3 linked regions of the Oryctolagus cuniculus genome follow. The protein of the gene in region 3 purifies or fractionates together with the protein of the main gene of each other region. This does not show direct contact. Links are inferred from orthologs where the notes say so. Each region holds a gene or a part of one and is shown on either strand. Other genes may lie near its edges.

Region 1 (2,615 bases), on a different chromosome or scaffold from region 3:
TCTCAAATTAGCCCTGGCAATTCCTAGTTCTAAGAGGTCTTAAGAACACTGTATGTTGGGAGTTTGCAATGACATCTGCAGCCTTCCCTGAACATCCAGAATCACCCCTCATTTCCACCTTTGTACATCTCTTATAAACAGTAAAATAGCCTCCAATCGATAATTATGACTGGTTTGCTTATTTTCTTCTTCTTATAAAAAGGAAAGCTCAGAAGCTAAAATGTTCAGAAGCTCAGAAGCTAAAATGGTCCTTTTCCTGAGGATTACTCACTTGCCTGCTCTTTGACCTTCAAAAGCCTTAAGAGCCTTGGGAAGTCAGGAGGAAACGGGAAGAGACAAGCAAGGAAACAGTGGGAAACTGCCATTACCTGGGTTAAAGTACTAGCATCTCCAAGGACAATTATTAGCAGGGAAGACAGGTGCTGGATTCCTTGGCTAAGGCATTGAATGAAATCTGCTGGGTAAAGAATGAAAGGGACAATGAGAAGCTGAGGAGCACTCTTTACCTACTTCATGTTTCTATAGCAACCCTCAATGGAGGAAAGGTTACTAAGTATTGATGAGCAAGCCTAGAAAGGTAAGCAGCATAAAACCAACAAAGAATGTGCTCTCACTTCAATTTGCAGAAGTTTCCCCACCCTTTTCAATCTGTTAATTACCAGAGTTAATAGAAAGGGAATCAAATATGGAAGTAACAATTCACTGGCTAGATACACTCCTCAGTTGGTCTCACAACCCAGTTCTGAAGATATGCTGAGTGGGATTTGGGATACAGAGACAAGGGATGTAGAACAAACAGAATCACCTAGGCACAGCCCAGGCACTGGAAGCTCTTGTGTTAGTGTTTTACAACACAAGCAAATCCTGTCAATGAAGACAGAACAGGGGTTACATTCCAAAATATAATTATTTAAGAAAGGCAAAATGCAGCAGCTAATTCCCAGTCTATACATTTTCAGAATAGTGATTCTTGCCCCTAGGAGTTTCCAAGAGACCCCTCAAGTGCACCATGATTATTTACAAACTAGATAGGAAACATTTCTATACTCAATACAAATCTCATCTTCTAGGTTGAAAACTTCAGCCTTTGAGAAATCTATGAAAACTATACAAAAATATAAATATCTTTATCTTTACAGGCTGTCAGTCCTTCATACCTTGACAGCTAATGAGTGAAAAATCTCTACATATCACTGAATCCATGGTTGCAGATAAAAAATATATCTTGTGATTCAAATACTGCCTTATTTCCCTGGTAGAGTGCCTACTGTGACTTTTCTTTACATCCTGTGCAGGTAATAGTGAATGAAACCTTCAAGCACCAGGAGACTGGTTTGACTCAGGAAATATCCAGCCCCACAATTTTTTTTTTTTTTTAATTTGGCCACTGTCTCTGATCTAGGGAGAAAATGCTTTTCATTTTAGCTATCTCGTGAGTGACATGATTTGTGAAAGGCAGAGGGCCCCCTTCTTTGCCTACGTCCAAAACCAATATTCCCCAGTAGAAATGCCTGGCATGGTGAAATGTCCTTTTCCAACATCCACAAAGACAACAGGGAAAACTTTTTTAACACCTCGAAGTAATTACCTTAATAGTAAAAGTTAAAAGTAACCCTACTTTACCAAAAGGCTTGAATTTATAATTCCAATAGAAAAAGTGAGGGAATGGAAGCTACTTGGGAGACCAAAGAGAAAATTTTGCTGAACAATACTAACTCCTTCACTTTGGTATTCCATGATAATCATTCTCTCGCTCTATTCTTGAAACACCTAAAAACTATCTGTTCTGGATCCCTTTTACACAAGTGCATCATATTCCTTAGATTTCAGACTTAACAGGACAGATATCAGCTACAGTTCAGTCCATAAGAGCCCCCAAGTCTCAAGCAGCTTTTTCTCTTGGGGTGGGGTGGGTGCTGGGAGATAACTAGGAATCACTACAGAACTAGTCTTGTTATGAATTCCTTGGGCAAGGGGGCACCTCAAGTTCAGTAAATGGATCATGTCTTCTTAGGATGAGGGGACCCAGCACCACAATTGAGGTAACACATTTAACATGATCAGAATTCCTTAATATTTCTTGTACCAGGGTCGAGCACCCTACCCTCTTTCTCTATCATTATTCGCTGCATCATCTAAGTCAAAGATCACTGTTCTATGACACAAATAAACAGATGCCTGCAGAGAAAGAAGGTGAGATCCAATTTTCCCTCACAATCTGGCTTCTGCCTGAAGACAAATACTTTCATTTCCCTGCAGAACCTGATGAGGCTCCAGAGTTGCCCAATTTAGCCATAACAGGTGCCAACGTAGGCATCACCTTGCTCTCCCGGCCTTCCTGGTCACTCCCTGTTAAGTTCATTTTATTTCCAACTGACCCAACTTTGGCAGCTACAGGTGCCAAGCAAGGCATCACCTTGAGACTCTGACCATCTGTATCATTAGAAGGATTAGCTACTTTTAAACCTAAAGGTGCCAACTTTGGCATAGGCCTCCACAAAGTATCAGTACTGCTGTTGTTCTCCACGCCAGTTTTCATCTGGAGGATGGGGGGCGAGGACATATTTTCAGGCTCTGTAGTGAGGCCAGAAGTACTCTTCTCTCCATCACTAGCT
Region 2 (3,749 bases), on a different chromosome or scaffold from region 3:
CACTGTGGTCCTTAGCTGGTATTTCAAATCGATCTGACCGTCCTCTGTGCTCCAATGGCAATTACATACTGTTGCACACCATGTTACATTTACATTCTTTTACCTTTTCTATTGCTGTGTAGTCTCGTCTCAAACACCGAGCATTTATTAACTGAGTGGTCTTTCACAGCCTGTTTTTCCGACTTCACATTCGGATGTCTTGTAACTAGTGGGGATAATAATAGAAAAGATGACTAAATACAAAGAAATTTGACTCCGTTAGTCTTAGCTGTATACAGTATTGCAAAAAAGGCAAGAAGTCCCTTACAAAATAAGTTTAATTCTGCGTGGTTTCCCAGGGGCTTTTTAGCGACTCCTGCAAAAGCAGTACCTATAAAACCAAGAGATTCGGCTTTTGTGCCGAATCGCCGCCTTAGGAGCACATCAAACAGGGAGGATGCTGGAGGACGCACCTCCAGCATGGACTTCCTAACAAGGGAAGCGAGGCGAGAAGGCGGCCTCTGCCAACTGCTGGCGCGATCCGGGATCACCGTCCCCCACCCCCGGCTCGGCGAGATGGAACATTCCGTGCGAAAGCTTTGACAAGGCGCCCAGTCGGAGTCACGTGGAGCCGGAGCGTACTCACGGAGCCTTGCGGAATGACGCGGCTCGGGTTGCCAAGGGGCGGGGCCAGGCGCCGCGGAAGGGGCGGGGCGAAGGAAGCCGGCCCGGGGAGCTAAGCGAGGCGGGGCAGGGCGGGCGGAGTGGAGGGGCGGGCAGAGAGGGGCGCGCGGGCGGGGAGGGCCCGGCGTATTATGGGATGCGGCGGTGGAATGGCGCTGGGCGCGTGATTTTGAACAAACCCGGGTCTGTGCCTCGGAGGCGCCGCCGCCGCCGCGGCTGCTGGGAGCCCAGGGAGCGCGGCGCAAGGAGGAGGCGGCGGCGCCGCCGGCTTTGGTGAGTGTCAGCCCCTGAGATGGGGGCTACCGGGCGGGCGGGAAAGGGGGAGCCAGTCTCCGCTGCGAATGGCAGCGCGGGCGGAGGGCGCCGAACCGCTCCCCCCCGGGAGCCTGGGCGGCGGGGCAGTGGCGGAGAGCGGGCACCTGCCGCCTGGGGGCCGCCGCGCCCCATCCCCGGGCCGCAGGGGGCGGACGATCCTCAGGGCACGGCCCCTTCCCGCCGGCCCCCGGGAGGGCGGCTGTCACTCGGCAGGGCCAACGCCGTGCCGGCCGCCCTGCCCGGCTGACTGGAGGAAGGACTCCTACGGCTGTGGACAGGCGCACAGCGCGGTCCGAGAAGCCGGCCGTGTGGGCCCCGGTGTCAGGGAACCGGTTTTGCTGCTGTGTCATTTGGTATCAGCCCCTCCTTTGCCTGCTGCCCGCCGCCGCCTTCTTCCTACGCCCCTTTGTATGGACTCTTCTTCGTGTGCGTCCGTTTTCCTCGCGAAGCCCACCAGCTAAATGTCACAGTGTTCCCGCGGTGCACGGGGGAAGGGAGCGGGCTGGGGCTCAGCTTGGCCACGCAACGGTAAACAGCCCAGCAGGGTGCGGGTGGACCGGGCTGTCGGTGGGTTGGTGAAGTTTAAGGATGAGGGAATTGGGAACACTTTAGACTCGGAGCGCCGAGCAGGCTGCACAGGAAAGCGGGGGTTGGAGCGGCTGGAGGATAGCACTTGTTTACGCCTGGAGCCGCCGACTTTTGTATGGAGTTGCCTTTCACACAAGGTGGAAATAAATGGCTTTTTCCACTTCCACCTTCCTCTCCTCAGACTAACTTTTCAAAAAAGGCACTGAGAGTGGCTGTATTCGCAACCTTGAAGTTCAATTTGCTTGTTTTACGTAGGTCCTTTAGAGCTTATGGCGTGGTTTAGTGGTATAGAATTTATCTTTTGAAGGGGTGATCTTTCTGAAATTAACAATGGTAACTGATTTTTTTCCAAATGCTGATTTCATCAGAAGCTTTGCAGCTAATGTTTTTCTTCTTAGGTGATTAGAAAATATGTATGTTCTCCTTTAATTGCTTATTAAACTGAATGATGACAGGAACTGGTGGGAGTATGGGGCAACTGGGGTCTTATTCTAAAGCAAACTGTTTATTTTCACTGTATTGAACAAAACAGCAGCGGCAGATGGTTTTTCAATTTGATGACTTAGATCCTAAAAACATTTGGCAAGAAATTTTAGCTTAGAGCTATATTTTCCGTATTTTGGAAATTGATCGTGAATGTTTCCACAATTGGATCAGTACATTTCAAATCCAGTCGCACTTTGAAGTCCGGTCGTCACAGTGTTCGTGGACAGAAGTGACCAGATTAAAGTTGAGTGGAGAGGGAAACAGTTCGGATCCTGGGTTTTAACTGGTGGCTTGTTTTTGACCGCCTACCTGGCTGAGGGTCGGTGCCTGTAGTTTAGGAAAGTGTCAGAGAGGTCAGGGCTAGCATATGGAAATCGCTCGTCCTGTCAAAGTAGTTCTGCGGTTAGAGTAATACGTCAAAGTTGGTGAGTGACATTCACGGTGCGGACAATGTTTGTAGCGTCTGAGATGGACGCCGCGAAAGAAGCCCACGCCTCCACCTCCCTCAAGTTGGTTTCGTGAAAATGAGGGAGTTTGGGCTCTTTATTGTCCCGGTGCCGCCTTCTGCTGGGCTGCCTTTGCACACAAGCCTATGCCGGACTTGGGACCCGCCGGGAGAGCGACTTCCTCTGGCGCCGCGGCGGGGCCGCCGGGCTCGGCGTGTGGTTCGGGGGTGAAAGGTTGGCGTGGCCCGTGAGCACTTGTTCCTCCGGGTGCGTTTGAAGGTTGGCGGGGCCGGCGGGAGGCTTCCCCGGATATGTGGGTGTGCGCCTCTCGGGAGGGGCGGGCCGGGGCGGGGACGGGGAGGCGGGGGGCCGGCTGCTGGCGGCGGCGGCGGCGGCCCGGGCTCGGGCTGCCGGGGAAGCTGCTGAGCTGTGATGGTGATGACGAGGTGAAAATGGCGGATCTTTCGAAATACAATCCCGGCCCCTGACATACCAGAGGCGGCGGCCGCGGCGACGTCGCCGCCCGGGCTCGCTCCCCGGCCCCCGGGTACCCTGCAGCGCTCCAGTCTGGGCCAACTGGGGAAGGAGGCGGCCGGCCGGAGCTACCGTGTCAGGCAAACAAGCACCGCCCGGGCTCGGGATTGCCCGGGACCTTCTGGAGCCCCCACCTCGGAGCCCGAGGGAGGAGAGAGCGGCCGCCGCTGGAGGTAGAGGAGGCTGGGGGTACCCCGAGGGCTCCTCTGGGTAGAGATCGCTGCGTTTCGAGGGGTGCCGGCGGGTGGGGGAAGAATTGCGTTGTGGATCGAGGCATGACTTGCCCGGAGTGCAAAGAAGCAGTAGCCTCGTCATGACATCAACATTATTCTTTGAGGGTGAAGAGGGCTCGAGTTTGCTCTTACACCTCAGGCGCTGCTGAGGCCTAGAGGAACCGCTAGCACTTACCATGATTTCCTGATGTGATACTGAAAATATCCACTCTGCCGGGTGTTGGTTGGGTGGTGTTCACCAGTTTAGGGGGTTGTATGTTTCTTTCGGGAGGCAGAGCATTGGCATTTTATTCTGCATTTAAGGTCTTGGATCACAACCTATAACTTGTTGGGGTGTTGGATGCTCACAGTTTTTGATCATAAGCACCACTATGAAGCCATTACCAATGTTATTTTTTTTCTTTCATGGCTCTGTCATCCATCAAGTGACCCCTTTGCCCCTGCCATTTGGCTGATAACAATTGAGATACTGTTAGTGATATTT
Region 3 (3,649 bases):
ATAATGGAGCCACAAGGATTGAGCGACTTGGGCACTTCTACCTAATACATGTTTTTCTCTTTGACTTCTCTGTCTTGAAAACTTCCTCACTGACCTGTTTCCCCAGTTGTCTTTCTGAAGTTCCCTTAGCCCCGCTGTTACACACACAGCCCAGGGAGGCCGGGCAGCCTCGCTTAGGTGAGGTCCGTTCAGATGTGTTCAGTGTGGCCTCCGCCTCCTCCTCCTCCACCACCTCCTCCTCCTCCTCTTGTGTCAGCCTTAGTGAGGGCTGGCACTCACCTGGTTAGTGCAATGTCCCAGGTATTGAAGGCCTCATTGGGTTTGATTTGGGGCGACCGTACCAGGTGAGTCATGTGCTAAGTTCTCTTCCCAGCTGTCTGTGAGATGTGCGGTATCGTGGGCACAAGGGAAGCCTTCTTCTCCAAGACCAAGAGGTTCTGCAGCGTCTCCTGCTCCAGGAGCTATTCCTCCAACTCCAAGAAAGCCAGCATCTTGGCTAGATTACAGGTGAGAGGCAGCCGCTCGGCCCCCAGGGCCCTGGGTGCTAAAAGAGGACCAGCTGACTGGAGGCCCAGAGGACCTGGGAAGCTCCCTGTTTTGGCCGTCTGAGGTTGGACATTTCTTCTGAGAATTTGCTGTGCTCTCAAACCTCAGTAGGCAGAGGAGTCAGTTTATGGAGCTTGTTCATTAAGAGCTTGCTGTTATCCTTCCACCCCCAAGAGTCGCTCATATTCAATAAATTTAAGTGAGAGTCCTGGAGGTTCTGATCAGAGCTGGAAGCCCTGCTCTTCTCTGCACGCTTTTATAAATGCCTTGAAGGGAAGCTGGGATACAGGCGCAAGGTTCAGCAGCCACAGCGGCATCAGGAAGCCGATGCCTTGTCGCTGACTGTGTCTCATGGGTGGCCACCTGGGAAGTCTTGCCAAGCTCTTGACATTTATAGAAGTTTAGGGATGGAAACACTTGTCTTAGGCACCTGTTGTCAGACCCACAAGATGATGCAGTGTGCCGAGTGCAGGGAGGTGGAACGACTGACCCAGGGCAGCTCTGTGGAGGGAGAGCACTGGGATCTGGGCTGCAGCCTACGCTCAGCTGCCGGCCGTGGGTGTTTCCCAACGTGCACACGTGCCTCAAAGGAGACTGTGCATTCGGAACATCCGGAAAGTTTTGGTTTTTTTTTTTTTTTAAAGATTTGTTTATTTGGAAGAGTTACACAGAGAGGTAGAGACAGAGAGAGTCTTCCATTCACTGGTTCACTCTTCAAATGGCCTCAATGGCCAGAGCTGGGCCAATTAGGAGCCAGGAGTTTCTTCCAGGTCTCCCACGTGGGTGCAGGGGCCCACGCACTTGGGCCATCTCTGCTGCTTTCCCAAGGCGCATTAGCAGGGAGCAGCCAGGTCTTGAACTGGCGTCCATATAGGATGCCTGCGCTGCAGGCCGGAGCATTAACCTGCTGCACCATAGTGCCAGCCTCTAGAAAGTTTTAAAAATATGATATTTGGGGCCGGTGCCGCAGCTCACTAGGCTAATCCTCCACCTAGCAGCGCCAGCACACCGGGTTCTAGTCCCGGTCGGGGCGCCGGATTCTGTCCTGGTTGCCCCTCTTCCCGGCCAGCTCTCTGCTGTGGCCAGGGAGTGCAGTGGAGGATGGCCCAAGTGCTTGGGCCCTGCACCCCATGGGAGACCAGGAGAAGTACCTGGCTCCTGCCTTCGGATTAGCGCGGTGCACTGGCCGCAGCGTGCCAGCCGCGGCGGCCATTGGAGGGTGAACCAACAGCAAAAGGAAGACCTTTCTCTCTGTCTCTCTCTCACTGTCCACTCTACTTGTCAAAAAAAAAAAAAAAAAAGAAAAAAAAAAGATATTTGGGTCCTATACCCAAAGACTGGCTTAACAGGGAAGGAGTGTGATCTTGGCTTGGGGATTTAAAGAGCTCGCCGGTGACTCTGCCTGCCACCGTGATGCTGGTGGCAGTGCCCTGAGCTGGCTCCGGCCGGTGCCTCACTCACTGCACTGCCTTTGCTTCCCTCGTTTTGTGGGTTTTATGCAACGCATGAAAGAGAGCTCGTGATGTTACTTGGTAATAGTGACATCGGGGGACACCTGTTGAGGGCTTGGCATTCCCAGTCTAAACAACGATCCTAAAAAATTGACTTTACACAAATTCCTGTTTTAAGAGTTTAAGCATTTGAGTAAAAGATATAGAAAGCTTCAGAACCGGGGTTGGCCCCCAGTCTGTGTGGGATGTCATCCTCCATTTCTGCCTCACTGATCTGTGGTAAATTCCTGGCTTTTCTGATCAGTGCGTAAGTTACAAAGTATGCACCAGGGCCCTGGCCTTTCCCTTTGGGGGTGACCTCCTCTGAGTACCTGAGGACAGCACGGGAGCCTCCGTGGAGCACAATTACCTGTGTACGGAATGCTGCCTCGTGGAGCAGAGACTTCGTGGTGCCACCCTCCCCCACCTCACCCCCGCCCAGCCTATTCTCTGCGTGGCTCAGTAGCAGCACCAGAGTAAGGAGCTGACAGAGCTAAAGCTGTAGGGAGAGGCCCCTGCTCCGCTGACTACCCACCACCACCATCACCCTCTGAGCTAGGCCTTGTCCACGCTGTGTTTTACAAACTCAAGCCAGAAGAGGATAAGTAACTGAACAAGACCAGGCGGATCCTGACAGTGCCGATCCAGATCCTTAGCCGCCACCTCACGGCCTCTCTTTTCCCTCCAGGGGAAACCACCAACCAAGAAAGCCAAAGTGCTGCACAAGGCGGCCTGGTCTGCTAAAATCGGAGCCTTCCTGCACTCCCAGGGCACTGGACAGCTGGCCGATGGGACGCCCACAGGGCAAGACGGTAAGACAGCAGGGACAGGTTCTGAAAGTGGCTGCGGTGGTGGCCGGGACCCGGCTGGCCCTCCCTGGGAGTGGGGGCTGGGAAAGCTGGACCACTGGAAAGCCCCTGGCCCAGGCTCGCTGCCCGTCACCCTTTCCTGTGGGCTGTCCTGGAAGTTACCTCCTAAAAGCTCCTGGCTCACCCCTCAGAAGTCAGGAATTAGCTTCTTTTGTTTCTCTTATCTCTGGGGCAGTGGAGGCCCAAGTCTGGTTTGAAGGGGCGGCAGTCCGGGGTTAGGATAACAAAAGGAACCTTCTCTGTGTGTGTGTGTAGCAAACTAAGTGTAGGCCCTCGCAGCTCTGCCAAGTTGGCCTCCCCGCCAGCAGGTCTGGGCCTCACTCTGTGCTGCTCCACCCTGTTGGGTTGGATGTGGCCAAGGAGAGGCTGAGGGGTGTGAGGAATTTGAACCCAGGGACACTGGCATTTCCCTTTCCTTGGGATAAGAAGGGAGAGATACTCCTTTGTAAGTGCTCCTCTACCGAGGATTGGCGGCGTCTAGATTTGCCTGCACCCCCTGGTGGCCACTGGTGGGACAGGTCTGGGCGCACTGGGACTGCTGCGGAAGAGCGACTGCTGCTGAGCCCGCCGGCCCTCAGTGCAGTGACCACAGCGCTGCCACCGGGCTTCCAGGCGCCAATCTCCTCTCTGCTCCACAGCTCTGGTCCTGGGCTTCGACTGGGGCAAGTTCCTGAAGGATCACAGTTACAAAGCTGCTCCTGTCAGCTGCTTCAAACACGTGAGTGCCCCGGGTTGCAGAGGGAG

The links.
Region 1: the proteins of L3MBTL2 (region 3) and MGA purify together in Homo sapiens (affinity purification with mass spectrometry; 3 studies listed by BioGRID and IntAct, counting the BioPlex papers as one, with this or other methods). This does not show direct contact. The link is inferred for Oryctolagus cuniculus from reciprocal best matches to the Homo sapiens genes L3MBTL2 and MGA.
Region 2: the proteins of L3MBTL2 (region 3) and LIN54 purify together in Homo sapiens (affinity purification with mass spectrometry; 3 studies listed by BioGRID and IntAct, counting the BioPlex papers as one, with this or other methods). This does not show direct contact. The link is inferred for Oryctolagus cuniculus from reciprocal best matches to the Homo sapiens genes L3MBTL2 and LIN54.

The regions. Positions count from the first base shown.
Region 1 is NC_091443.1:64,844,452-64,847,066, reverse strand, and holds part of MGA (MAX gene-associated protein), read right to left. Parts: coding exon 2,246-2,615; 3' UTR 1-2,245. UniProt on the Homo sapiens protein: Functions as a dual-specificity transcription factor, regulating the expression of both MAX-network and T-box family target genes. Functions as a repressor or an activator.
Region 2 is NC_091439.1:82,838,195-82,841,943, forward strand, and holds the start of LIN54 (protein lin-54 homolog), read left to right. Parts: upstream 1-1,328; 5' UTR 1,329-1,439; coding exon 1,440-1,506; intron 1,507-2,652; exon of another isoform or gene 2,653-2,765; intron 2,766-3,071; exon of another isoform or gene 3,072-3,205; intron 3,206-3,749. Other genes in the region: uncharacterized protein, read right to left, coding at 104-205, 308-962, 1,083-1,328. UniProt on the Homo sapiens protein: Component of the DREAM complex, a multiprotein complex that can both act as a transcription activator or repressor depending on the context. In G0 phase, the complex binds to more than 800 promoters and is required for repression of E2F target genes.
Region 3 is NC_091442.1:117,288,879-117,292,527, forward strand, and holds part of L3MBTL2 (lethal(3)malignant brain tumor-like protein 2), read left to right. Parts: intron 1-373; coding exon 374-507; intron 508-2,724; coding exon 2,725-2,848; intron 2,849-3,543; coding exon 3,544-3,623; intron 3,624-3,649. UniProt on the Homo sapiens protein: Putative Polycomb group (PcG) protein. PcG proteins maintain the transcriptionally repressive state of genes, probably via a modification of chromatin, rendering it heritably changed in its expressibility.